Drosophila melanogaster: one gene and its partner. The protein of the gene in region 1 purifies or fractionates together with the protein of each later gene. This does not show direct contact. Each region holds a gene or a part of one and is shown on either strand. Other genes may lie near its edges.

Evidence for each region.
Region 2: the proteins of ric8a (region 1) and Galphai purify together in Drosophila melanogaster (affinity purification with western blotting; 2 studies listed by BioGRID). This does not show direct contact.

Annotation. Positions count from the first base shown.
Region 1 is NC_004354.4:9,252,212-9,263,896, reverse strand, and holds ric8a (ric8a), read right to left. Parts: upstream 7,730-11,685; 5' UTR 7,601-7,729; coding exon 7,520-7,600; intron 7,455-7,519; coding exon 5,814-7,454; 3' UTR 4,695-5,813; downstream 1-4,694. Other genes in the region: Erk7 (extracellularly regulated kinase 7), read left to right, coding at 1-186, 885-2,460; CG17754 (uncharacterized protein), read right to left, coding at 8,177-8,269, 9,548-9,784, 9,858-9,980, 10,039-10,246, 10,326-11,369. UniProt on the Drosophila melanogaster protein: Chaperone that specifically binds and folds some, but not all, nascent G alpha proteins prior to G protein heterotrimer formation, promoting their stability and activity.
Region 2 is NT_037436.4:6,971,818-6,986,010, forward strand, and holds Galphai (G protein alpha subunit i), read right to left. Parts: upstream 8,228-14,193; 5' UTR 7,822-8,227; coding exon 7,701-7,821; intron 7,406-7,700; exon of another isoform or gene 5,830-7,405; intron 5,663-5,829; exon of another isoform or gene 5,352-5,662; intron 5,190-5,351; exon of another isoform or gene 4,505-5,189; intron 2,657-4,504; coding exon 2,185-2,656; intron 2,116-2,184; coding exon 2,021-2,115; intron 1,962-2,020; coding exon 1,773-1,961; intron 1,717-1,772; coding exon 1,526-1,716; 3' UTR 933-1,525; downstream 1-932. Other genes in the region: CG10063 (uncharacterized protein), read right to left, coding at 1-412, 475-541; CG43439 (uncharacterized protein), read right to left, coding at 12,098-12,268; CG32388 (uncharacterized protein), read right to left, coding at 12,383-12,462, 12,526-12,685. UniProt on the Drosophila melanogaster protein: Guanine nucleotide-binding proteins (G proteins) are involved as modulators or transducers in various transmembrane signaling systems.

The DNA of each region.
Region 1 (11,685 bases):
TCTTCACATGGACGTCGTGCCGCCGCTGAAAGATCATGTGCGCTACGACGTGGACCAGTATCGCAACAGTCTGTATGAACTGATTGACCGGGAGACGAGTTGCAGTAACCGCACGGTCAGCAATTCCACGCCATCCAGCAATCGGGACGAGTTGCCAAAACCCGTGCGAGTCACGAAGCAAGCCAGGTGAGCTGCTCTCGGGGATCTTTGGGGGCTTGGGCTGGGACGGTTGTTGGGGGGAAGCGGTAGAGGGCTGGTTTAGTCGTTTGTGGGGCGATGGCTAGTGGAGGAGCTATTCTAGCTGCTCGTCCCCTCTTTCAGATTGCATCGAGCCATCACCAAAGTCACCAGCACATCCAATCACCTACAGCAGGAGACATTCAAGGAGCGGAAGGAATCCGTGGAATCCATAACAGTTCAGCGCCCAGTGAAGGAGCGACTGCATCGTTCCATGCACCGAAAGGCACATCGCATGCGCCTCAAAAAGGGCCATAGTCAATAGAATACTAAGCTTAATAGTTATCATCCTCTAAAAATTCTTCATGTCCAAGGACCTCTTTCTTTGTGAACCACATTTATGTGCATCTCAGTCAGTTTTCATCATTTCAAACCACAAATTTTATTTTATCACAATAGTTTAAATTGAAAATACAATAAACTAGCAGTAAATATGTCTTAAGAAACATATAATATTAATATTATTGTTATTAGGTTAACAACATATTCCTGTCTGTGTGGTATGAGGATGTGAATATTCAATATTCTAAGTGTGTCTTTAGTTAAGTGTAATATTAGTAACATGAGAGCAGCCCCACTTAACCCAGCCCAACCACACATATTTTGGCGAATCACCAGTGTTCAACTCATCCAATTCCCTCCCGCAGGACAACAAGTGCCAAGCAACCGACCACGAGCCCGGCGGAAAGGAAGAAGGAGCCATCTTCCGTCGAGGTGACCCAGTCGCGCAAGAACATTAAGCTGCTGGGCTCTGCACATAAGGCACAGTCGAAGGAGATCAACCACATGGAGTCTGCAATTACGCAAGTCTCTATTGCTTCTGCTCCTCCTGCTGCAGCTCCTCCTGCTCCTGCTGCTACTGCTCCTGCTGTACCGCGGAAATCTGGTGATAAATCTGTCCCCAAATGCCAACACAACAATGCGGCGGTCCAACGGGAATTGGCTGCCGTGGCGGCCGCGGCAGCCGTGGCTCGCCGGAAGAAAAGCAGCTGGCAATCGCAGGCACAGTCTCAAGGTAAATTCCATACCGAAGCGAAGGCCCATGTTCAAACTGCGATTCAGACCCAGAAGGACAACATCAAAGATAGCCCTCCGAGGATGATACAAGAGTCCCAGAGCCTGACGGAAGCTAAAGCGCCTATTCCAAAGAATCGCTACTCAAACAAGATGTGCCAAGAGAAGAAATATAAAAAGAAACACCATAGCATGTCCTGCATCACAAGGGATACGTTTCCCTCAGAAACGGAGCATCGCCAGCAGAGGGAGGAAAGGGCGTACCAGCGACAGATGAAACGGGAGCTCCAGCTGAAGGAGAGCTACCGCCGCCGCATTGAGGCGGAGAGCGAACCCTTGAAGGAGACAACTGAACAGGAGTCCAAGACGATCAAGGTGATAGAACAAAAGGTGTGTGAGCATACTGAAAAGAAGGCGGATGAATCGTTGTCCAAGGATCAGCAGAAGGATTCGATCACCTTTGGCACATGCGTCCGCGAACGGATCCATCACCTGGAGCTAGAGATGGAGAAGTGCACGGAGGAGTTGGTGGACTTTGTCGAGTTGAATGCGGATGTGCTTAACTATGCGAACGTTAGCACCCACTTGAAAAAGCTGCAGCGGTCAAAGGAGAGTGATGAGAAGGATGAGGATGACAGAAGAGCCCTGCCGGAGGGCATTGGTGGTCCCGGATCCCAAAACTACGAGATCTTTCGCCAGGAGCAAGAAAAGGAGCGCCAGCGCCAGGTGCAAGAGTTCTTGGCCCGCGACGAGACCAATGAGTACGATAATCTCGACCTGGACCACGCCTACAGAGCTAAGTACTATACAGCATATAAGGAAATAGGGAAAGAACTCAACCCCGCACCGGACAGTGGGGGACGCGATTCCGGATCGGAGCATTCCCCGGGGCGGGACAACTACACCACGTATGCCGACTACTTTCTCAAATACACCACCCCACAGCAGAATTGGAATGATCTTGAGCGAGCGAATGGACTCCAGCGGGAGCACGACCGCATATACGGGTTGTTTTGGCTGAATGATCGCAGGCAGGAGGAAAAATATCGCCGCAAGTTGGCACAGAATGACCAAGAAGAACTCCCAGTTCACCACCACAAGGCGTGCCGCCATCGCCACCACAAACCCAACCACCATGCTCCCTACGATCACATGAGGCCCACGGAGGACGACATTCAGGAGGCGGACTCCTTGCCGGAGAGCAACTGATATGTCCTAGAATATTTGTCCCAATCTTGACACAATATACATACATATATTTTGAAACGCGAATGCAATGAGTGAAGATTCTTTTTGTCGTAGATCTTTTCTATCTATTTTATATTGTAACTTCTATTGGGTTTATAAAGACGGAACGTTTTTTCGTACAAAAACCCGCAGTGATCCATATTTTTGTGCCAGATTGCCTTGAGTATAAGGAACCGGCACTGATGATTGCGCAGCTCCTGACCAACCTCAGGTCGTTGACTAACGTCCCGCAGCGGCGGCAGAATCTCCTGGCGTAGATAGTGACGCATAACTCGATCGCTGCGCGCACATTTCACCAGCACGGTCAGCACTGGGGAAAGCAACTCATGCGAGCTAGCCTCGGCCTCCTGTTGGGCCAGAGATTGCCTTAGGTAGCGGAGTAGCACGTCCAGACTCCGAACATTGCGCTTTTCGAAGCACTGCGAGCAGCACTCACGGGGTTTGGCTCCCGCTCCAGCTTCTGTATCTTTTTCCTTCTCGTTGTCCAGCTCTCTTTCCTTGTGCGACTCCAACTCGGCATTGGAGCAACGCAGGGTGAGTTCTGTCAGGCAGCTGCCGGAGATGTTTGTCAGCAGATTGATGGCGTGTGTGACGACGGCGCGATCCTTTTCTGTGGCCAAGTCGCCGAAACGCAGGAGCAGCTCGCAGATGATGTTCAGCTGCTCCTCGCTAACGGAGTCTTCGCCCAGCTTGTCGTCCAGCTACTTGGTCATGTAGGTGAGGCCATTTAGATCGATTTGGAGGCGGTATCTCAGTCAGTATTCTTCATTTCGAACCACAAATTTCATTTAATCACAATAGTTTTAAAAATTCCTGTCTGTGTGGTATGAGAATGTGAATATTCAAAATTCTAAGTGTGCCTTTAGTTAAGTGTAATATTAGTTCCATGACAGCAGACCCACTAAACCCAGCCCAACCATACATATTAACATAATTCACATAACTGCCTGCCGAATCACAAATTTTCAACTCATCCAAATCCCACCACATTGCAATGAGTGCCAAACAATCGACCACGAGCCCGGCGGAATGGAAGAAGGAGCCATCTTCCGTCGAGGTGACCCAGTCGCGCAAGAACATTAAGCTGCTGGGCTCTGCACATAAGGCACAGTCGAAGGAGATCAACCACATGGAGTCTGCAGTTAAGAAAGCCTCTATTGCTTCTGCTCCTCCAGCTGCAGCTCCTCCTGCTGCTGCTGCTACTGCTCCTGCTGCACAGCGAAAATCTGTGCACATATGCCAACACAAAAATGCGGCGATCCAACGGGAATTGGCTGCCGTGGCGGCCGCGGCAGCCGCGGCTCGCCAGAAGAAAAGCAAAGTGCAATCGCAGGCACAGTCTCAACGTAAATTCCATACCGAAGCGAAGGCCCATGTTCAAACTGCGATTCAGACCCAGAAGGACAACATCAAAGATAGCCCTTCAAGGATGATACAATGGGACTCTTGTATGATTCCAAAGAATCGCTACTCAAACAAGACGTGCCAAGAGAAGAAACCCAAAGAGAGACACCATAGCATGTTCTACTTCACAAGGGATAGGTTTCCCTCAGAAGCGGAGCATCGCCAGCAGATGGAGATTTTGCAGAGGGAGGAAAGGCGGCAGATTAACCGGGAGCTCAAGCTAAAGGAGAACCAGTGCCGCCGCATTGAGGCGGAGAGCGAACCCTTGAAGATAGAAGAAAAGGTGTGTGGGCATACTGAAAAGAAGGCGGATGAATCGTTGTCGAAGGATCAGCAGAATGACTCGATAAAGCTGATCGGATCGGAGCCGGTGCATTCCCCGGGGCGGGACAACGACAGCAAGTATGCCGACTACTTTCTCAAATACACCCCCCCGAAGCAGAAGGAAAAAGATCTGGAGCGAGCGAATGAACTCCAGCGGCACGACCGCATATACGAGCTGTTTTGGTTGGATGAGCGCAGGGAGGAGGAAAAGTATCGCCGAAAATTGGAACAGAATGACCAAGAAGAAATCCCAAATGACTGCCACAAGGCGTGCCGCCATCGCCACCACAAACCCAGCTACATTGCTCGCTTCGATCACATGAGGCCCATGGAGGGCGACATTCAAGAGGCGGACTCCTCGCCGGAGAGGAGTCGATCCTTATAACTCTGATTCAATATTAATAATTAAAATTTAGTTTCAAAGCATTATGAATCGGAAAATATGTGGCTTGATTATTATAGCATGACCTTGATTGATTTATTTTATTGTTAAGCTTAGGATAGCCGTACATTTAGACTCGCACAAAAAATATTACTATGTTTTGATGTATATAAGTTGATCTACTAGTATCATCGCTATAGCAAATTGAACACAATAAAGCTCTAGATAGGATTTCTTGTATATAGATCAAAGACACGTAACTTTTAGAAAGTTTTGGAATTATTCCTTTACCCTATTATGCGGAATTTACAACATAGATTAGACATGGACATGAACAATGTGCGGATGGGATAGTTGGTTGCATGGCCGTGTCGACATCCACAACTTGATGGCTCTTCAAGTGCTCCTCACTGCCGTCTGTCATAGATAGACTTTGTAGTTCGTTTAGTTCGATTCTAGAGCTATAGTTAGTGTTACACACATGCAACATCATTTGTAATAGAAAACTGAGAATCGGAATAAGAGCTTTCATTCCTAGATCCTAAGTGTATAATTGGAATTTTATAAATATAATACATACATGCACTTAACTATTAAAATGAAAAGTCGTCCTAGTTGTCCTATAGTGTGGGCGTGTATTTAAATGAATTCAGATTTGATGTTCATCTGCTCCCTACTTCCTGAAATTGGAAGACCCCAACGATTGTTTTGCATTTAGTTATTTTTTTCAAGCCGTACGTTATGGGATGCCATGGTATCAACTTTAAAAGTGCGAACAATTCACGGGACAACAAAATAACAACGAAGTGCGTAATAACTTAATAAGTACAACGTTCTACATGGTTAATGGTTAAAGAAATTCTGTAAAAGTTGGGAGACCGAACTTATCTACGAATTGAAGCTAATTGGATAGATTATAATTATTTTAGCTAACACTAATAATAATGGCATTTAGACAAAAGCTGATCACTGAAATCAAAGCCAGATTGGATAATTTTTGGTTAACAAATTGTAGGTTATAATGAGATGTTCTCGAATATGTGGTATAAAATATATAAACTATGTAAAAAAAAAAATCTGCTTTTTGAACACATTCGAAGCTACATTCGACAGTAAACTTATGGAATAAATGCAGAGTTTAAGGTGATTTTTTGGTAGCTATTTGGAAGTTGTGCCATAGCAGATCCCGCAATACATTTGTGGCTTAGGTTTTCCGCTTCTGGTCGAGCTGCTGCTGCGGCAGCTCCTCCTGCAGCTGAAGGATGTGTTCCAGCGGCTGCGGGCGCCCGTCCTTGTCTATCATCGCCGGCTTTACGATCCCGCCCTGACGCAGCTGTTCGATGAGATTGACCAGCTGCATAGCCTCGTATTCCTTCTGCTCTTCGCTTATGTCGTCCAGATGCGACTTGCTGCGCGGCTCTACGCAGCCAAGGACTGGATTGATGCCCTGCTGCTGCTGCTTGTACTCCTCGGTGTCGCTGTCCTCGCTGTCGGAGGAGTAGTCGGTGCCCTCCACTCGCCGGCAGTCGAGTATACCCCGCTTGGCAAAGAGCCCGGCTGCGTTGCCATAGCCCGTATATTTGATCATCCTGCCGACATTTTCTTTGCACAGTACGAACAGCAGTTCGGCGGACAGATCTCGTAGGATCATCGCGGGCAGTGTAAGGAACCGACACAGATGATTGCGCAGCTCCTGACCAACCTCAGGTCGTTGACTAACGTCCCGCAGCGGCGGCAGAATCTCCTGGCGTAGATAGTGACGCATAACTCGATCGCTGCGCGCACATTTCACCAGCACGGTCAGCACTGGGGAAAGCAACTCATGCGAGCTAGCCTCGGCCTCCTGTTGGGCCAGAGATTGCCTTAGGTAGCGGAGTAGCACGTCCAGACTCCGAACATTGCGCTTTTCGAAGCACTGCGAGCAGCACTCACGGGGTTTGGCTCCCGCTCCAGCTTCTGTATCTTTTTCCTTCTCGTTGTCCTGCTCTCTTTCCTTGTGCGACTCCAACTCGGCATTGGAGCAACGCAGGGTGAGTTCTGTCAGGCAGCTGCCGGAGATGTTTGTCAGCAGATTGATGGCGTGTGTGACGACGGCGCGATCCTTTTCTGTGGCCAAGTCGCCGAAACGCAGGAGTAGCTCCCTCAGCACTCCCGTCAAATGCAAGCTCTGGATTTCGTATTCGTTGGGGCTCTTGTCCGGAGCACTGGTCACGTTGAACATCACCTTGAGCAGTTCGCAGATGATGTTCAGCTGCTCCTCGCCAACTGAGTCTTCGCCCAGCTTGTCGTCCAGCCACTTAGTCATGTAGGTGAGGCCATTCAGATCGATTTGGAGGCGAGAGCGCGCCGCTGGCTCTAATGCAGTGAGCAAGAAGAGGAGCTTCATGTCGTAGTACTCCAACGCACAGGGATGTCGCATCGAGGACGCCACCCTCTTCAGGATTGCATCCAGGCAGTGTTGCCGCAGGCACTGGCGCCTGCAGTCGGAGCTCTGGTAGACCAAGTTGCACAGACACTTAAGTGCTTCGGCAATCACCTCCGATTGGGCCTGGCTGGGCTCCAGCTGGGGCTCCTCGCGTTCCTCCTGTTTAAGCTCGTCCGGCGTGGCTGGCAGCTTTAGTGAGCCGGCCTCAATCCTAGCCAGCTTCAGCAGGGTGTTAACCTCCTGTTCGATGTAGTTCGTCTGCAGGCTGAACTCGTCACGCGTTAGAATCCTCACCGTGTTCAGGCACTGCGTATGCAGATGACTAAGCCGCTGGTCGTCCAATATGCCGAAGATGGCCAGCCACAGTTCGTGCCACAGGTTGTCTGTGCGGAAACTGTCGAAGACCAGCAGATCCGCATTCTACGGCAGAAGGAAGGGTATATAATCTGGTTGAATCTTCGGGAGAAACCGCTGGCAGTGCTCACCTTTGTGTTGAATTCGTCCAGGATGGCGGGAATGTGGTCCGCCTCCTTGGCCTCTAGTCGTTTCAGGTGCTCCGTTTCCATGTCGCCAACGGTGGCCGTTCAAAGCTGTCGTTGAGTTCGCTTTTTAGGTCGTTTAAGTTAATTTAATTAATTTTTATAATTTCCGCCAGTGTGACCGCACCTTTGCCGTTCTAATCTAATATACTACGGGGCGTTGCCAGATATCTCAACCATCGAATGCCAACTATCGGTACGCCCTTACCACTAATATTCTAAAAAAAATCGTATTCCAATCAGAAAGTTAGATAATTTAAATATATTATTTCAAATATTTAAATACAATCAAGAAACTTGAAGTTACCCATTTAAAAGAGCAATCCCCGCTTAACCGACAAAATAGTATTATTTTATATGTTCGGTTTTTCAAATGCAGCGAATAACCGTTTAATTTTCGATTTTATTACAAAAAATACATATCCAGTGTATACATTTCGCAGTGTATGTTTTGTGTAAAAATATATATATGTGTAAATATAAAATAATACGTAATATTTGGATTGTTTTTTTTTTTTTTTGACAAGTTTTCTTGTGTTTTTTCTTTTAGCTTGGCTTAAATGTTTATAGTTTGCTTTGTTTGTTGTCTTGTCTGTCTAGCATTTACATGTTATAGTAGTCGACAAACTCGACACATCTGGGACGCCTATTATAGCAGATTGGATCCAATCTCACTGGCTTCCACTTCTTCTTTTTCTTTAATTTTTAAATGCAATCGAAGGGAAAGGGAAAAGAAAGAAATAAAAACATAATAAACAATTAGAAATAAATGCTCGCTGTACGCACACACACATCTAGTATTTACTAAGAATAATATCGGTACAAAATGACGATGCAAAAGTCGAAATATAATCATTCCATGGGACAAGTATTTACTAACTAAAACTAAGCAATTGCAGTTGTCTTTTTGATTGTTTTCGTTCGTTTTTTTTTTTTTTGATTTTGTTTGTTTTGTTTTTCTAATGGTTTCGCACACTTCACATGCAAAAATGAGCAATTTTGGTTTTTGGAATTTTGGCTTGGCGCAGTCTTGTCAGGATATAAGTATGTGTATACGATTTATGCATATGGAATGTGGGCCCGTCACCGGTGCGAGCGAGATGGCGTGCAGTGTGTGAAGCGTACGACACCATGGGGTGTGAGTGGGATGGAAAATTTTTAGAAACTAGGGTATCGTGTAAAATACGTTGGTTAATTACAGCTAGGGATCGATTTTAGATTGGAACTGGAAGCCTCGCAACATGCACTTCTTAAATCCTATGAGATTTCACTGATTTTTTTATTTTTTTTTTGATTTACTTATTTTTAGATTCAAGCCGAAAAGAGCAGAGTTATGGGGAAAATACTGGGTTGGGGTGTGCGGTGCGGAAAGTGGGTGAGTTCTGGGTGTATGCCATACCACAGGGAATCATGTCAGAACACAGACGAGAGCGAGGCGAGGCGAAGGTGAGCTGCAGTTTCAAACTTGCCGGGTTAGGAAACACGAGCAACAACCACGAGCAGCTCACAGCAACAGTAACAACAACTACTATAGAACGGGTGCAGTGCTCTCTCGCTAAGTGCATCGCTTTCAGACCACGCTACTTATAAAACTACTTTTGATTATTGCCTCCTAAAGTTCCTTAATATCTACAAGTAAATGGAAATGCTTTACATGAACTGGTAAATTTGGGAAAATATCTTTTGTAAACGTGGAATGTTTGGATTTTTAAGATTAATGCAAGAAAGGTATAAAATCTACAGTTTGTGTGCAGCATTAACTGCCGAGCGAAACATCTTGACAAATTTACTAACATTAAATGCAATTTATAAAGCTCTACCCAAATAATGGGTATCTAATAGGAATTTCGCGTATAAATTTGGCTGGGTGCTAAATGCAAATCGTTTCCAAACATCTGGCCCTTCTATCCGAAATAAGCGATGCAATTAACGAGCCTACACTGCAACCGAAAGTGGATTGGGTTTGGACTAAACTGTAGCACTGGGCGGCGGCTGTTGAGCCGCCGGCGGTATGACATTCGGAATCGCCACCACACAGGCGCCGGCCCTTGCGAAAGCCATGGGCGCCAGCTCGTTCCATCCATTGCGCACCGGGTCGTACTCCTCGACGCTCTTCAGCGCATGATTGCCATCGTAGCCGCCGACGACGATCAGGCGATCGCCCAGCAGGGCACAGCCGATCGCGTCCCGGCCCAAAGCCAGTGAGCAGATCTGTGGAATGAGATGACATCGATTAGAAGTGAGGATGAGGTTGAGGGAACCACATAACCCAATCCCAGCTTACCAGAGTCCAGGTATCGGTGGCTGGGTCGTAGCGCTCCACCGTCTCCGTGCGGCAGACCATTGGATTGCTGGCCGGACAGTCGTGGCCACCCAAGGCGTACAGGAAACCATTGGCCACCGTCACCTGGTAGGGCAGGTAATTAAGAGAAAGACCACTAAGGATATGCTTAGAGGATACTCACGCCAACGCCGCCGCGTCTCCTGTTCATCGGCGCCAGTAGGCTCCATTTGTTCGTGTGCGGATCGTAGCACTCGATGGAGCGATGACAGACGGAACCATCACGTCCGCCCACCGCATACAGGCGACCGCCCAGGACAGCCACGCCGGCGGTGGAACGCATCGAGGACATGGGTGCCACATAGCTCCAAGTGCGCGCTATGGGATCCCATCTGGAAAATGTTTACTCAGTTGCACAATTATACATATATGTACATATCCATCAATTCATCAAATTCATTGCCCTCTCACCTCTCCACGGTGTTCAGGTAGCTCCAGCCGTCGTGACCGCCCACCGCATAGAGTGGACCCTCCAGCACCGCCACGCCCAGTCCATGACGGGGTGTGGCCATGGCATTGAGCGGTGCCCAGGCCATTGTATTCAGGTCCAAACTCTCTACGGTGTTCAGGGTCTTTAGCCCATCACGTCCGCCCACTAGGATCAGTTTATCCTCCATGACAGCAGCGCCGAATTGCAGTCGACGACCGGTCATGTGCTTCCACGGTGTCCACTTGTCCAAACGCGGGCAGTAGCTCTCGATGCTGATGGCGCCCTTGTGGGCATCCATGCCGCCGACGGCCAGGAGACGACCCACCGTGGATTTGCGCGGCGTTGTTCGCTCGGTGGCTATCCGGGATCGGCGCTCGGGCATCAGGTGCCACTTGAATGCCTCCATAACCAGCTGCTGGCACTCGTTGGCATTGCAAACGTTCTCCACGTGGTCCATGATAAACGCTGGCTGCAGTAGGGGCAGTCGCACCAGGGCCAACAGCTCCGGTATGTGCTGCTCACGGGCAGCGGAATCGTGGCGCACCCACGACATCAGACTGTGAAAGACATCCTGCTCCGAGGGCACATTGAGATCATCGCTGCTAAGCAGCTTGCCCAACTGATCGGCGTTCAGCTGGAAGAACTCCTGATTCTGGCACACCTGCATAAAGTACTGGCAGGTGTAGGCCTGCGCCAGACGCAGCAGCGTGGTGCAGCTCTGTTGCTCCGCAAAGAAGGCGAACCCAAGGCAGTTGGATGGATGGAGCTGGCGGGCCAGGAAGTTGCAGCAGGCGGTCACCACGGCATTCAGCTGCAGCAGACAGGCGGTGGCCAGCAGCGTCTCCACGGTGTCCTCGCGCATCTCAATGAACCCGGTGTAGCAGTACTGGACCAGCAGATGCAGTGCATCGCCGTGCACTTCACCGAGGGTCACCTCCTGTTCCTTGGTCTCGCGCAGCGATCCCGTGAACATGGCCGAGAAGTAGGCGCTCGACGCCGATAGCACCAGGCGGTGGGCGGGCACCCTGAAAGAGCCAAGTGAAATCCTTGAATTGTGGACACTTTCGCAAGAGTTAATCCGAAAAAAAATATTAGCTTGTGGTGTCACTACTTTCGTGACCGCAACTGTACGCTGGTGGGTTCTTTTCCCTTTGTTTACCATGGCACAGATCGACAGGTTTTCACGATCCAAAACCGGTTGAGTGCAGCGAAATCAAATAGAGCTGCAACTACTGCACTTGGATCGCGAATCGTTGTATCTGTATCTTTCCATGCTGCAGTTTTTGTTGCCTCTCCGTGGTGTTCGTCTTTGTTTCTGAGACGGTTACTTCCCTCTCAGTT
Region 2 (14,193 bases), on another chromosome or scaffold:
TCGGTCTGCTCCTTGCTAGGCAAGTTGGCCATGACATCCTGCAACTGCTTGGCGGCCGCCTCCTTGGCCTCCGATGCCTTCTTCTGCGCCTCGGTCATCTTGTCCTCGTTCGAAGTGCCCTTGCTGCGCACGATGGTGCTGGCCTCCAGTGGCTCAGCTCTGCCCAGTTTACCGCCTGCGTTCACTACGGAAATAGTTGGCGCCTGCACCTCGCCAATGGGCACATCCTTACGCGTGGTGTTCTCTGGGTTATTGCCCAAGGTGGATGGAAACCCTGGAGCCGCAAATCCAGGCGGCACGTTCTTGGGCTTCTCATCGCCGCCACCTTCGGCGGAGAACTTGCGGTCGAGATTCAGGAACAGAGCACGCGGGCGCACAGTATTGCCATTGAGGCGATTCAATGTGGAGTAGTCTTTATGGTGGGAAAAGGCGTTAAAGTTTGCTAAGAAAAAAACACGTGCCTGCTTCACTTACTCCACGCTGTGACCAGTGGTCCCGCCACCGACTTACTCCATTTGGTCATTACCATGGCGCGAATCATTTTCCAAGTTTAAGCAGATTAAAAATTCTTCACTGAAGCAATTGACAATTTCAACAAACGAATTAATCCAAAATGCCTGACAAAAAGCAGAATGCGGCAAGGCCAACTTGACAATCATCAGCCAGAGTTGCAACTCTTTCCGAAGAAAATCCCATTTTTTTTGGGAAAGAACGCTAAGTTCAAAAAAGCTAAACCTAAAACAAAATTACTGTTTCTAATATATTTATGAAAATAGGCACAAGCTATAGCTCTAAATTGGAATATACACTAAACTAACTGAGCAATGATCAACATAATTTAAGGATCCTAATATTTATTTTACTAAGTTGTCAGCTCTGTAAGCGCACATGAAATAATAAGCAGCATTGGCAGCATTCAAGTACGAATGGTTATTTTGTATAAATTGTCTTTTATTTAGGCTATTACTAAACATATTAGTAAGTTTACTAGTTACATTTTAGGGCTTACAACTCCAGGCCTTAGGTTCACCTTAAATAACGCTGTCAAGCTCTTGGCAAAGAATAAACGTCCGGAAAATGGCTTGCGCCCAAGGAGACACCTCTGGGGATTTCTGGATGTGGTGCTCCCCTTGGTCACCGCCATTAGCCCGCGAAACTTAACTAAATTCCAAAGGGAGCCGATCGGGTTGAGGTTTTAGGATGTACAAAACCCACCGGCTGTCCTTTGTCGAACTTTACATTTGTGTGGTTAGGCTAATGTTTAAATTAGTTAGCTTATGGGTGCAATTTAATGGACACGGTTAACTAAATTGCAGCTGGTTAGGTTATTTGTTCCGCGACTACTGGCAACCAAATCGGTTATTAAAATTACGTGTGTCAAGCATGTAACGCATTTAAAACATATATGGATCGTACGAGCGTAAATGTATCGAGTTCTTAGCGTTTAATGGAAATGTTTATGCGCGTTTTCCTTTAATACTACGACGCCAGCTAAATAATGATGATCTTGTGCTCCGCCGCCCTCTCAGAATAAGCCAATTTGTTTCAGATTGTTCTTGATGATCACATCGGTGACGGCATCGAAGACGAACTTCACGTTGTTCGTATCCGTGGCGCAGGTGAGATGCGTGTATATCTCCTTTTGGTCTTTTCGCTTGTTCAGGTTTTCGAACTTCATGCGAATGTAGTTGGCCGCCTCCTCGAAGGTGTTGGTTCCTAAAAGTATATCAAGTTAAACAAAAATGTAATCGTTTTCTACACTCTTATCTTACCTGTGTACTCTGGGAAGCATATCGTCAGCGGAGATCTCTTGATCTTCTCCTCAAACAGATCCTTCTTGTTGAGGAACAGTATTATGGATGTTTCCACAAACCACTTGGAGTTGCAGATGGAATCGAACAGCTTCAGGGACTCAATCATACGATTCATCTCTTCGTCCTCGGCCAATACTAGATCGTAACCTAGCGAAATATATAACAATTGCATTAGATTCCTAAGATTCGTAGAATATTTGACTTACCTGATAGCGCGACGCAGAAGATTATGGCCGTAACGCCCTCGAAGCAATGAATCCACTTTTTGCGCTCCGATCGCTGGCCACCCACATCGAAAAGTCTGTGGCGAAAAAAAAACATAACCATTAGAATCGAATCAACCGGAAGTGGGCAATTAATGACAACTCACTTGAAGTGCAGCTGCTTGCAGGAGAAGTGTGTCTCGATGATGCCAGTGGTCTTCACCCGCGTGCGTAGCACATCCTGCTGCGTGGGTATGTAGTTCGGTTGCGCGATCCTATCCAGCGAATTTAGATAGTATCCCGCCGAGTCATTCAACTGATATTCGCGCGATCGGGCGAAGCTCTGCTGTACGCCACCGTCTGCCCAGAGTTTCTTCATCAGGAGCACGATCTCGGGCAGCAGGATGCCCTCGTCGGCGGCAGAGGCGTGTGTGAAGAACTGGCGGGCAATGTCCGTTCGGCTCGGATCGGCAAACTCGATCTTCAGGCGTCCCATTGCGCGGATGATCACCATTAGACTCTGCACCGTGTTGCTGAAGACGACGCGACGATACTCCTCGCATTCCTCCTGCGAGTAGCCCGTGTCATGGATGATCTTCATCTGTTTCACAATCGTTGACTTGCCCGACTCTCCGGCTCCTACAAAAGAAATTCAACAGAGTTTATTAGTTAAGGTGTACTATCAAAGTTTATAAAGAATCATTCCAAGGAAGTGTGAGCTCAATATTTGTATGCACCAAGTTCAGGGCGTAAAACTGAATGAATGAATCGATGAGTTCGGTTTCGGGAAGGGGCTTTTAAGTTTGCCAAGGGGAACGGAAGTGGAATTTATGAATGAGACGATCGAGAAAAGTTGCTCAATTGCGCGACTCAAGAGGTCACGCTTAATTGCGCTGGTCTAGTTGAGAAATGAATGAACATCGTGTATATGGTCATTTAATATAGCATGTCGGATTTCAATACGAATCAAATGAACACCAAATAAGGGTCAATAATATTGTGATAACAGATCAAGTTATATGCACATCATCATGCTAAAGATAATCCAAATAGATATATGCATTTTCTAAGCGTACTACTCTGTAATTTATTATAATTTATTAACTTGCATGGCCGAGCCCTGGAGTTCGTTGAACCACCCACCCATTAGTTATCAAAGGCGTTGGAAATTGCGGAGAAAATTAACTGGGCATAATTTTATTCGCCGAGTGCCTTCAATTGTTAAATGAGACCTGACCCGTCAGCGTTGATAAACAACAAACACACGGGCTCGTCTGGGCAGTTTATTATATATGTAGTACTATGTATATTATCTGCTGCGTCGAATGATAAAAAAAAAAATATGAAACATAATCGCATTACGTGCTCGCCAGTTTCCCTTTTCGCTGAAAACTAAAGAAGTTGAAATCGCAGAGCAAATGGGCAAATACAAAAATTGGCAAATCTGCCGGTCCAAGTAATTTCGAATATCTATAGCTATATATAAACATATATACACGATGTTGGGGCATTGCAACAATGGCGCATTAAGCCGACTTTTTGCTGCAGTTGGTAGTTGGGTCCATTCCCAGCCACCGGATGATTAGGTAATTGCCAAAGCCAAAACTGCGACTTTACTTTCACTTTTCTCAACTTTCAGGGCTTCGATACTTGCACTGAAACTTTAATTGTTTTTACTATTCGTACGTATATCAATCAGCCATGGTTGAAGTTCCCTTGGGGCGGATGGTGCTCATTCAATGAAGATTGGTAAGTTTAATACATATGTTACGTACATTTATGAAGATTAAGAAATTCAGCCTATAGTTTTAGGTACCATAATGTGTTAGAATAGGGTCCACTCTAATTGTAATGTGCTGGCCACTGTTACACCTACTGTTAATATATATTACACTAAATGGCCACTGTTACATTCACTGTCAATATATATTACATTAAATTTGTTTTATAAATTTTTTTGAGTTATTGTTAAGACTTCAATTTTAACCAATTCCGAACAATGCTAACTAATTTTGCCACCAAAAAGTGTTGGAGCGAAAGAGACGCCTGCTGAATGCTGATAATGGGCAAACAACGGTCGCCGCATAATGATGAAATTGACAGATTTGAATACGAATATGGACATAAGGCGATGTTCAAACTTGCCACCGTGTGGAAAAAAGTAGCGAACAAAGCAATCCACAAATGAGCGGCTGGAAAAAGGTCAATTTAATAATAACACTACTAACAAAATGCGAAAGAGTGTGTGCGTGTGTGTTGGTGTGGCTGGGCCTTCATTTATCAATGCACCGTTAGCTGTGCCATAACACGCGCCCGGCCGACTGCGGGTGCGAGCGAGAGGCCAACAATAGGGCTGGAGCGAGACGGGCTCAGAACAACGGCGATACGCACAAAGCCGCGTTTACAAGCTCATTATCATCGCGATGGCCACAACCAAACGGTATTATAATTAACATCATTAAACAGTGAATATCGGCGAAAAAAGAATCGGCGGGGAATGCAGGAATTCTAGCTTCTATTGATATATTTTATAGTTGTTAGAAGTTGCTAAAAAAACTTTTTATTATATTTATTAGAATTTGAAATTGTAAACAACATTCAAATATTTGTTCAATTTGTCATAAATGATTAAAAAATCACTATTTAGCTAGATAGGAAATTTAAGGAAGACATGCAGTTTTTACTGCACCAACCAATTCGTTAGATAATTACTTATCGAAATTAGAATATTCATTGGAAACAGGGTGACTAAGGCTACGCCATGCGATGATTTAAAAAAGAGGGGAGAAGAAAGAACAATAGCTGTAGACAGCAAGAGGAGGAGAATCGTAAGAAAGTGTTTGCGCCATGAGTAATCAAGTTAAATGGCGCCTGGCCTCAGTTATCGAAGTGGGAAATGTGTTAATCAGCGGGGAGTGTGAAATTGAGCGGACCCACCGAAAAAGTAAACAATTAAATCAGATGAAATGCGGCCCCAAAACGGAAGCCCCCCACCTAGTAGTGACTTTCACGCAGATCTCTCGATTATCATGAAATTTCCTATATGTGATGTACATACATATGTACATCAATTATTTAACCACATATAGTATATTGACGTACATATGTATAAGGTCGCTCGCTTGGCGATAATTTTGATAAGCCCAATGATACTTTCAGTTTAAATGTGTTGGTAAGCGAGTTCTTAAATAATTGTAGATTATTAAGTTGCTGTGTGTTGACAGTCTGAGTGCCGATTTTGATATTGGTGCGCCAGCAGCATGACACTATTTTGTTTATATATTATTTTCTTCCCATTTTTTTCATATTTTTTTTTTTTTTTTTTTTTTTACAGATATCCGAGTTCTTACTCATGCCCCCCCCATTGGAATTCGTTTTCTCTCTTCGGTTTGCTGCTCTTTCCTTGCAAATATCATCAAAATAATGCAGTAATTCACTATCTTTGCCCTTAAGCACAATATGTTTGGTTGAAAAACGGTTGAAAAAGTTGTGCTTTTCAATTGAAAGGCTTGCGGAAAGGGGGGGGGGTAAGGAAAAGGGGAGAGGCAGCAGAGTGTAATATAAATTGAGTGTCAGCTGAGCAGCTTTATTAAATCTACTCAATAAGCGCAGCGTTGGGGGCTGCCAATTCCGATTCCAATTCAAGTAAGTAGTCGCTGTACACTGGTAGAAATTACCAATAAATTCAATGAATAATATATATATTTATACTAAATTATAAGCAATGTCTTTACTGCATAATTTGAAAACTATATTTTTTAAAGATATTTTTTTTAGCAAACTAGTACATTCTTCTTTTTCTTTCCGTGTAGCCGCGACAGTTGCATTTGATGGCGGGCCCATTTATTTGCGCTAATATCGTTCACCCCACTTGAAATGTCAGCGAACAAACAACGAAGCAGCAACAAAAACAGCCAATTACTCAGCTGGAAGTCGGAGGAAAGCTGCAGCAGCTCGGAGATCGGAGATCAGAGATCGGTTTTCATCATGATCCAGAAATTACAGAACACACGCCCCACAAGGTGCAAACAATTGAATCAAGTGTAAAATGTTGGGCTAAATTTCAAAATGCAACTGGTGCAAGCTGTTTTCTTGGCTATGTAAACCAGAAGCATTTACACTGGTCAACCGGGGGTTTGGACGAAAACAGCTGGGATACTGAATGATAATAGGGGATATCTTTTAATGGGGATGAAAATGGTAGAATTTTCCTGCACCTTTTAGCGGGCATTTTCCAAACCGGTTTACGAGGTTTTTCATTGAGGCAAACAGTTTTCCTTATTATCTTTAAGCCTGCAAATACAGTGGTTACTCACAAACAAATATAGTGCAAGGTGCGGTGGCTGCTGATAAGCTCGATAAATGTTTTACAGTGTAAATGAAAACTACACTATGTTCTAGGTTCCAAAAAAATCATTTACTAATGTGCATCATTTTTTTTTTTAGAAAAATCCTTTTGAAATGATAACATTTGACATTATGAATTAATTTAGTACAGTAAACCCTATATATCAGTTCACTTAATAAAGGTGTAGGTTGCATAGCCAGTCTTTGCTGTACTTTCCAGCCTACCACTCGTTGCCTTAGTCATCTTGGCCCGATTCATTGGCCAATCAGCCGCGCTGGAGGAAAACTTCCACGGCATTGTTTTTCGCAAATGAATGGCAATGAAATGAAAAGTACACACGCAGACGGTGAAATATATCATCGTTCCCATATGCCGTGCATATAAATCGGCGAGTGGAAATTTAATTGCAGAAGGTTGCAACGCAGCGAGGCATTCAGTTTCACTGCATTTGCCGCAGAGGTCGGGTCACCAAAAACCATACATACATCATATATGTATGTATGTATGTATGCATGTATGTTTGTATATGCGATACGATGGCGCCTCGTCGCTTGAATGGTTTTTCCTGCAAAGTGGAAACCGCTGCGCTATCAACAAACATGTTTCCATTGCGGCAATGGGATCCGATTCGATCCACTTGTTGCATCGATCCAAAAGATCTGAAAAGTGCGTGCCAGCAGATGAGAAACGAGCACTGAGTACCGAGAATCTAGAATCGAGTGTATCCGCACAGTCAAACCGACATTTGGTTTCAATTTACGTTCAATTCCCTTATCGCCAACGAATTATTGGACACAGACATTGCATAATGCACGATCTACGAACAGACGGATTTGTTTAGCCCCAAGCAGCCACATAAACATTGGTTTTCCCAGATAAACAGAGCTGCATGGAGTCTACTTACTCCATTCCATGCATATTTATAGTCGAAATATGGGATAGTTGGGGACTTTAGACTTTTATGTTAAACTGTTAGCTAGAATAACATGGTCTTATAATAACGAGTGATCTTAAAAACAAATAAATTACATTTTTCTAATTTTAGTCTTACTAATTCGTTATACTGTAACTCTACTGTATTGTTTCATCCCATGCCTTCCAGCCTTTTCCAGACCCTTTCGCACTGGAAAAGCCGGCAAAAATCCTTGCCCCAACTCACCACAGCCGAAAGCGCAAAGCAACGGCACCCAGCGGATACCCACCCCGCCCAAGCAAAGCGAGCGAATGGAAAAAAAAATGAGGTCACAACGCGAATTTCAGCAAAGAATTCGCAAAGGGGGGAAATACCGGAATAATGCTAGAGAGGTGAAAAGGTGAAATGGAAGGCGAACGCACCCAGCAGCAGCAGTTTCACCTCCGAGGCGGCCCGCTCGCCCTCCGCCCGCAGGGCGCGATCGATGTTCTTCGACCGCTCGATGGCCTCCTTATCGCGTGCTGTACTCACGGCACAACCCATCTTCGAAATATGTCTTTAGCGATTTGTTGCTCCTTTCTCACTTCGCGCACTCTTCTCACACGCGATTTTTCCAACAATTTCGAGATGCGTCTGCGCGTCGTCGGCTGTACACTTTTTTTCTTTTCGTTTTTTGTGTGCGTTTCCACCTCTCTTCCTTTTCACACAAACACACCACACATGCGCAGCGCACGCAAGCACACACACACAAACACACGCACACACACTGGCTTGAAACGTTTTTGGGTTTTTTTTGGAGATTAGCCCGATTGCATTGCTGTTTTCACGCTTCTTGCTGCAGCGGCAGAGCCGATTTAATATTCTTTTGTCGCTTTAATTTGCTTATCCGCTGATTTTGCTGTGCGCAATATGATTCACTTCGCGTCGGATTGGTGTGACTGTTTGCCGAAGTTCACAGATCGCTTGCTCACTGGCGTTAGTGCATTGCACACGATCGTTTGTGTGGCAACGCTGCCGGGTGTGGTACTCTGCTAGCTGCAGTCTGGCAGTACTCGCGGGGTGTGTGACTTGGCTAGCATCTTCTTGTAGGCAACTGTGACGTCACTTTTGGGCGGTAAATTTCAAATTAATTTAATTGATATACACGCATTTTAATTATCGCAACTTTGTAAACTTTATGCTTGAATGCCACTCATATGATCCTGTTTCCGCTGTTCAGTCGTGAGCCATACATGCATTATGCCCAACTTGCCCTTTGCATTTCAGTTTGTTGTTATAGCGCTTTAAGTGTAAATAAACATAGCCGAAAATATGATGTTGTTCTGAAATGCATGCCCCGCCACTCCCCCCTCATCAACACCAATGCAATGTGCACGCAGGCCGTTGGAGAAAAAGTTCTCAGGGCCCTGGCATAAATAATATTTGCCTTTATTTTGGGACAATTCCATTCCATTCTCGATTTGAATCCCAAATGTCTGCAGTTGCATGCGACGCAGGTACAGTGGAGCTCCTTTCTAACAAACTGACAATATTTAGAATCATTTAAAGTCAATTCGAAGAACAGAACTTTTTAAAAAATAACATAAATACGTCAATTCTTAAATAACAAAACATATGAGAACTAAAGAAATTACTTTCGTTTGCACTGTTAATCTTTTTATTTAAACTGAGCTTATATTTTATTGAGCTTATATTTTTAGTAATATTTAATTTCATTTTTTTTAAACTTATTTTTAGAGAATCATGCATATGCAATGATCATATAATTAATAATAACTTTATTAATGCAATAATATTAATATTTCAAAATTTCATTAGCATAATTCCACTTATAGAAGCTCCTCTGTTTTTTTCCAAATCGATGATATTAAAAGAAACTATTTTGTGAATTTTGTGGTATGGAACGTGACGGGGGGGGGGGGGGGGGGCTGGTCTTTCCGCAGCTAATTTATCTAAACAAAGCGATGCGAAGGCAGGAAGACGAGGATGCGGATAAAGATGAGAATGAGAATGAGGATGAGGATGGGGTCGCAGTGCAAAAGTTTTGCCGCCGCCGGAGGACGTCACATGTGGCCACCATCCCCCTCCCCTCCTCAAGAAACACCCCCACCCCCCTACATCCACCACCCCTCCTCTTGCTCTACCATGAATATAAAGGCCATCAACGGGTCATGATTTACACATGTTTACACGAAAAGTGCGGCATTTGCAGAGGGGCGTAGGAGTGGCGGGGAGAGGGACGGTGAGGAATTAGGGGGCATGCGGGGGTATCTGCTGTCTTGTGAATGAATGATCATTTGTGCGCTACCGAACACCCTGCAACCTCTGTAATTTATCGTAAAAAGCACAAGCTAGAGAAATATGGATTTATGCGGTTTTCGCTGCGCGTGCGAGCGAGAGAGAAATACAGTGATGCTGCACTGTGGGTGGTCGCTCTCATTCCATCTCTGTCGCACTTACTGCCTGCAAATGCGGCGCACGCTGCCACATTGCTGCTCTTGTTGTTGTTGTTGCAGTCGGATTCGGAATCGGAATCGGAATCCCAAACTGTTTGCTGATGCCAACAAATTTGACGAATGTCGGCATCATTTCATCCAAAACTTCAATCGCCATCGGGAAAACGAAGATGAATAAGGAAGGAGAACCAAAAACAACAAGCTGCCAGGAAAACAGCGGCTAGAGAGAGAGAGAGATGGATATGGAGGAGCAATTACAAGGATGGGCCTTGAAATAGATATACCGTTAGCCGGGCCACACATACCATGCACTGCGAGAAAATAGTACAATACAAGCAAGTTGATTTCTGGCGAGAATTCGGTTGTGATTGATATGAAATTTGGTATGTGGCTGGTAGATTCAGAAATGCAAATATTTCCAAGTAATTTATAACAATAGATAGATTTAAAACCATGAATAAATAATTTACACGAATTGGAAAATCCTTAAATCTTTAATAACCAATATTAATAGTTTTATATATATTTTATGTAGTTTAACATTTTGAGGATCCTAACGCAAGTAGTTCCTATTTCTCTCAGTGTCTGCGCGCTGAGTTTGGCACATGTGTGCTGTGTTGTGGCCCTGGGCAAACTCAAGATTGAAAAGATTAATTTCCCCGATAATTCGGCAGGCTGGAAAATGTAGTTTCGGACGAAATCTCTCGCCGGCCGTTGAAAGGTGGAACAGACAGGCGGGAAAAGCGCTCATTTTCCACCAAAAATCAGCCCCTTCAATCTGCAGTCTGCCGCCAAGTGAAGTTGCAGTCTGCAGTTTAAAGAGCACTGATGGATTCCTTTGGGCGTCGATCGTCGGATTATCCAATTGATTTTCGGCACTTTTTCAAAAACGACGTCGGAAAACCGACAAGTGGGGAAAATTAATCGACAGGAAAAGTGGAATGGAGTTGGGGAATGGGTTCAAAATTGGTAGTTACATTGCATTGATTGAGGATATATGTATATATTGGTAATTAAATATATAGTGAAACATGTTTTGTTGCTGTGGAAAATGCCTAATATATATGTATATTAATCAGCATGGAAATCTTTCGTCCGGTTTCTTTCCGCCAAAAGTTCCGATCCATCGATTGTCTTGTAAAGAATTAACTAATAAAAGTGATTTATGTTTAAAACATCTATGTATTTACTTAGCACAGCTAACATGAAAGATACCTCAGACCGCGAGTAACCCCAATTATTCAATAAATTCCGAAGATTTGCCAGCGAAATGAGGCCGCAGAATCGTAAAATCCGAGCGAATAATCTCTTCGACTAAAATAAGCCGCATCGCATTTGTTTACACTGCGATAACTTTAATAACTAGCCCAAAAAAAAAACATATATTACACCGATTCATTCGATCAATTCAAAAGCAGCCCAAAGCAACAAAAAATATAAAAATAAATGAATGGAGCTGGGGAAAATAGTATTTCAACTATTGAACCGACAAGTGTGACTATGTCGGTATATATATATATCTCACTTTTGTTTACATTCCGCAAAGGAAAACCCGAAAATATAGATCTTACATGGCCATACGGTTGCAACCTGCAGTGCGGAGAAAGGGGAGGGGGGAAGAAACGCTTCGCGGCAGGAAACAAAAGTCACTGGCGGTGCAATTGAATTGCCATAAAAATGGAAAGAAGCACCAAGAAATCGGGCCATATCCCAACCATATCCACATCCACCCACTCACGGATGTTGGGCTTCTGGATTGCGGCTCATCTTTGTCATGCATCTGAGTATCTGCGAGATTGGAAAATCGCAGTTCGTGGATTGCAACTATGGTTGCAACTGCTACGTGGCACCTTTTAAGTACCTGCCAGCTGAGATTGTGCAGTTTTTCCCCCCAAACAAATTTAAGATAGTTCCCATGATTCAGTGAGAAACAATTGCTTTTATCTAACAATTTGGTTCGCTTCAAATTTAGATACATCTCGCTGCTGGTCATTCTGCCCTTCGCCGTCGAATTTCGATGCCTGGCATTTTCAGACATCGTAAACCGACCAGGGAAATGGATGTTGTATCACTTGTCTAAGTCTGGCCATCGCCTGTGCCCCTCCAAAGCTATTTTTGACCGATTTTAGTTGATGCTTTATGGCTTTATAATGTCTGTGCACGATCCGTTTTATGAGCTGCCCGTAAAATGGACCCGATTCATCTGGGATCTCCGGCAACAATATGGTAATTTGCTGCCCATTATATGATCTTCAATGGGAACGGGGTAGCTTCTTTAGCTGCAGACTGTAAGGGTTTGGAAAGAAAATCTATATTTTCGAAAATTGAATGTATACACAGAGCTAACCATTTGAATTTCCTAACTAAGATCTCTTTGATTCCTCCTCCTCCTGCTGGCCAAGATCCTTTTCATCCTTGCCAAAGGACTGGCACTTTCCCAGCAGTTTGCCAAAGAGTCCTTTCTCATTTTCCACCGCCGTTTGATGGCGAAGGATCAGCAAAGTTCTGCGGCACTGCAGCAAAAGTCGGGACATGGTTTTTTTTTCTTTTGTAACTTTAATTTTGACTTAGGCCAAAGCAGCTTGAAGTTTGTTTAAAGGCCTGCTGTGATTTTGTTTAAGGGGCTGAAATGATTTATTCGAACTCTGCTACTTTTTCTTGCACTCATCTTTGGATTTGTCTGAGCCGCCGGGTTTGTTTTTGCAACGTGGTGAAGTGGGAACAACAGCTTTGCAAAAAAAAATAAAACTCAAAGATTAACAGGATTCTTTTCTAGTGATATCGTACCCACTTCTGCCACACATATCCTTCTTCTTTTTGTCTTTCTTCTTTTTGGAATCGGCACCCTTGCAAGAATCCTTGCCCGAATCCTTCGGCGATTTGGCCATTAGTCGTGCGCCGAAAACGCCTTCACTCAATTTCATGAGCGCCAAGCTGCGCACTTTGAACATGATTGAACTGAATAATTTTTTATCAAATAATTTTAACAGAAATTTTGGTAATATAAGTGTCCAAACTGTGTGCTGAACTGAGTTTTCAAAGCTACTGCTTAACACAGAAATCAAGGGATATCTGATTTTCCATTGAAAAACTTTCTTCTCTCCTGCCAAAATTGACTGGTCAAAACTATATTTAAGCCATAATTTTTTGCTGAATTGTATGGAAAAATCGATTAGTAATGTGAAACATGACTGATTTGGCTCTCAATTGCTTGGCTTGCATTTTTTTTGTTTTGGGTTTCGGTTGCATTTACAAGCCGAGAGTTTTCAGTATCCCGTGGCTACCGCTTCCAAAATCGAACTCAAGTGCCGACCACACATTTGCCACGAACCTCTGGATTTTTTTTCTTTTTTTTTTTGGGCAAAGGGAGTTGGAAATGCGGGGAAAATCGGGGAAATCGTCGTGGCGGCGCCACGTCAAAATATTTGTCGTCAGCGCCTCAATTGCTACGATTTATGGTGCGGATAATTAGGCGACTGCTGCGTCAGGATGTCGCCGTTGATTAAAATGAAAAGAAAAGGGAATTTTCCAACGCTAAAACCACTTGAACATGATCTTAGTTGGGGGTTTTGAACTTGTTCAACTGTTTACTAATGATCCGCTGCTGATGGCTTGTCAAGAAAATTGACTTTGATTCATTGCTGCATGGTTAAATCCATCAAAGGGTAGAGAAAGTGAAAAAAAATCCTTCAACTGCACTATACCGATCACAAGAAATCATTAGGCTGATTTTACCTTCGGCACGTGAAAAACATTTAAGCAAATAGTTTCGGCATTCGACTGTCAAGCGGTGGAAAACACAATTCCCCCCATGACATTTCAATGTTGAGCAAGTGAACTTTATTTTCCCGCGCATCCGTGTATTCGTATATTTTTAACCCCACAGGTGCGCTGCCCTCGAAGGCCAAAGACTGAGATTCGTAAAAAAAAACGATTCGCGTCTACAAAAGCCCTGGAAGAACAAAGCAAACGACACGGAAGAATTGGTGGGCGGAGAAGAGCGGAGAAGACTGCAGAAGAGCGGAGGACCATTGACGACAATGGGCGTCAAATGAAATGAAACAGATGCCACAGATCGCAGATACAAGATACAAAATCCCAGTTCGAGATCATCGATTGGAGGGATTGGGGGAACTCCGAAGAATCGAGCTGATGTCCGAAGACTGTAGATCAGCCATTTTGGCAATGGGTGCTTAAGCGGGAAGATTAATTACTGCCAACGTTGCGGAATCGATGGTTCGATGAAAAGCGAGTAAATCGATGCTGCGATCAGATGCTCAATTTCAAATTCAATTCAATTTCAGCTTCCTGTTCTGTGAGTCAACGCGTTTTTAAGTACCGGCCATTAAACTAAAAGCCAAACAAGAGCAGTCCAAGTGTAGAATCGGATGCGATCGGTTTTTCGGGCAACCGAAGTGGGTCTTTTCCACAGTAATTCTTTCTCTCTCTCTCTCTCTCT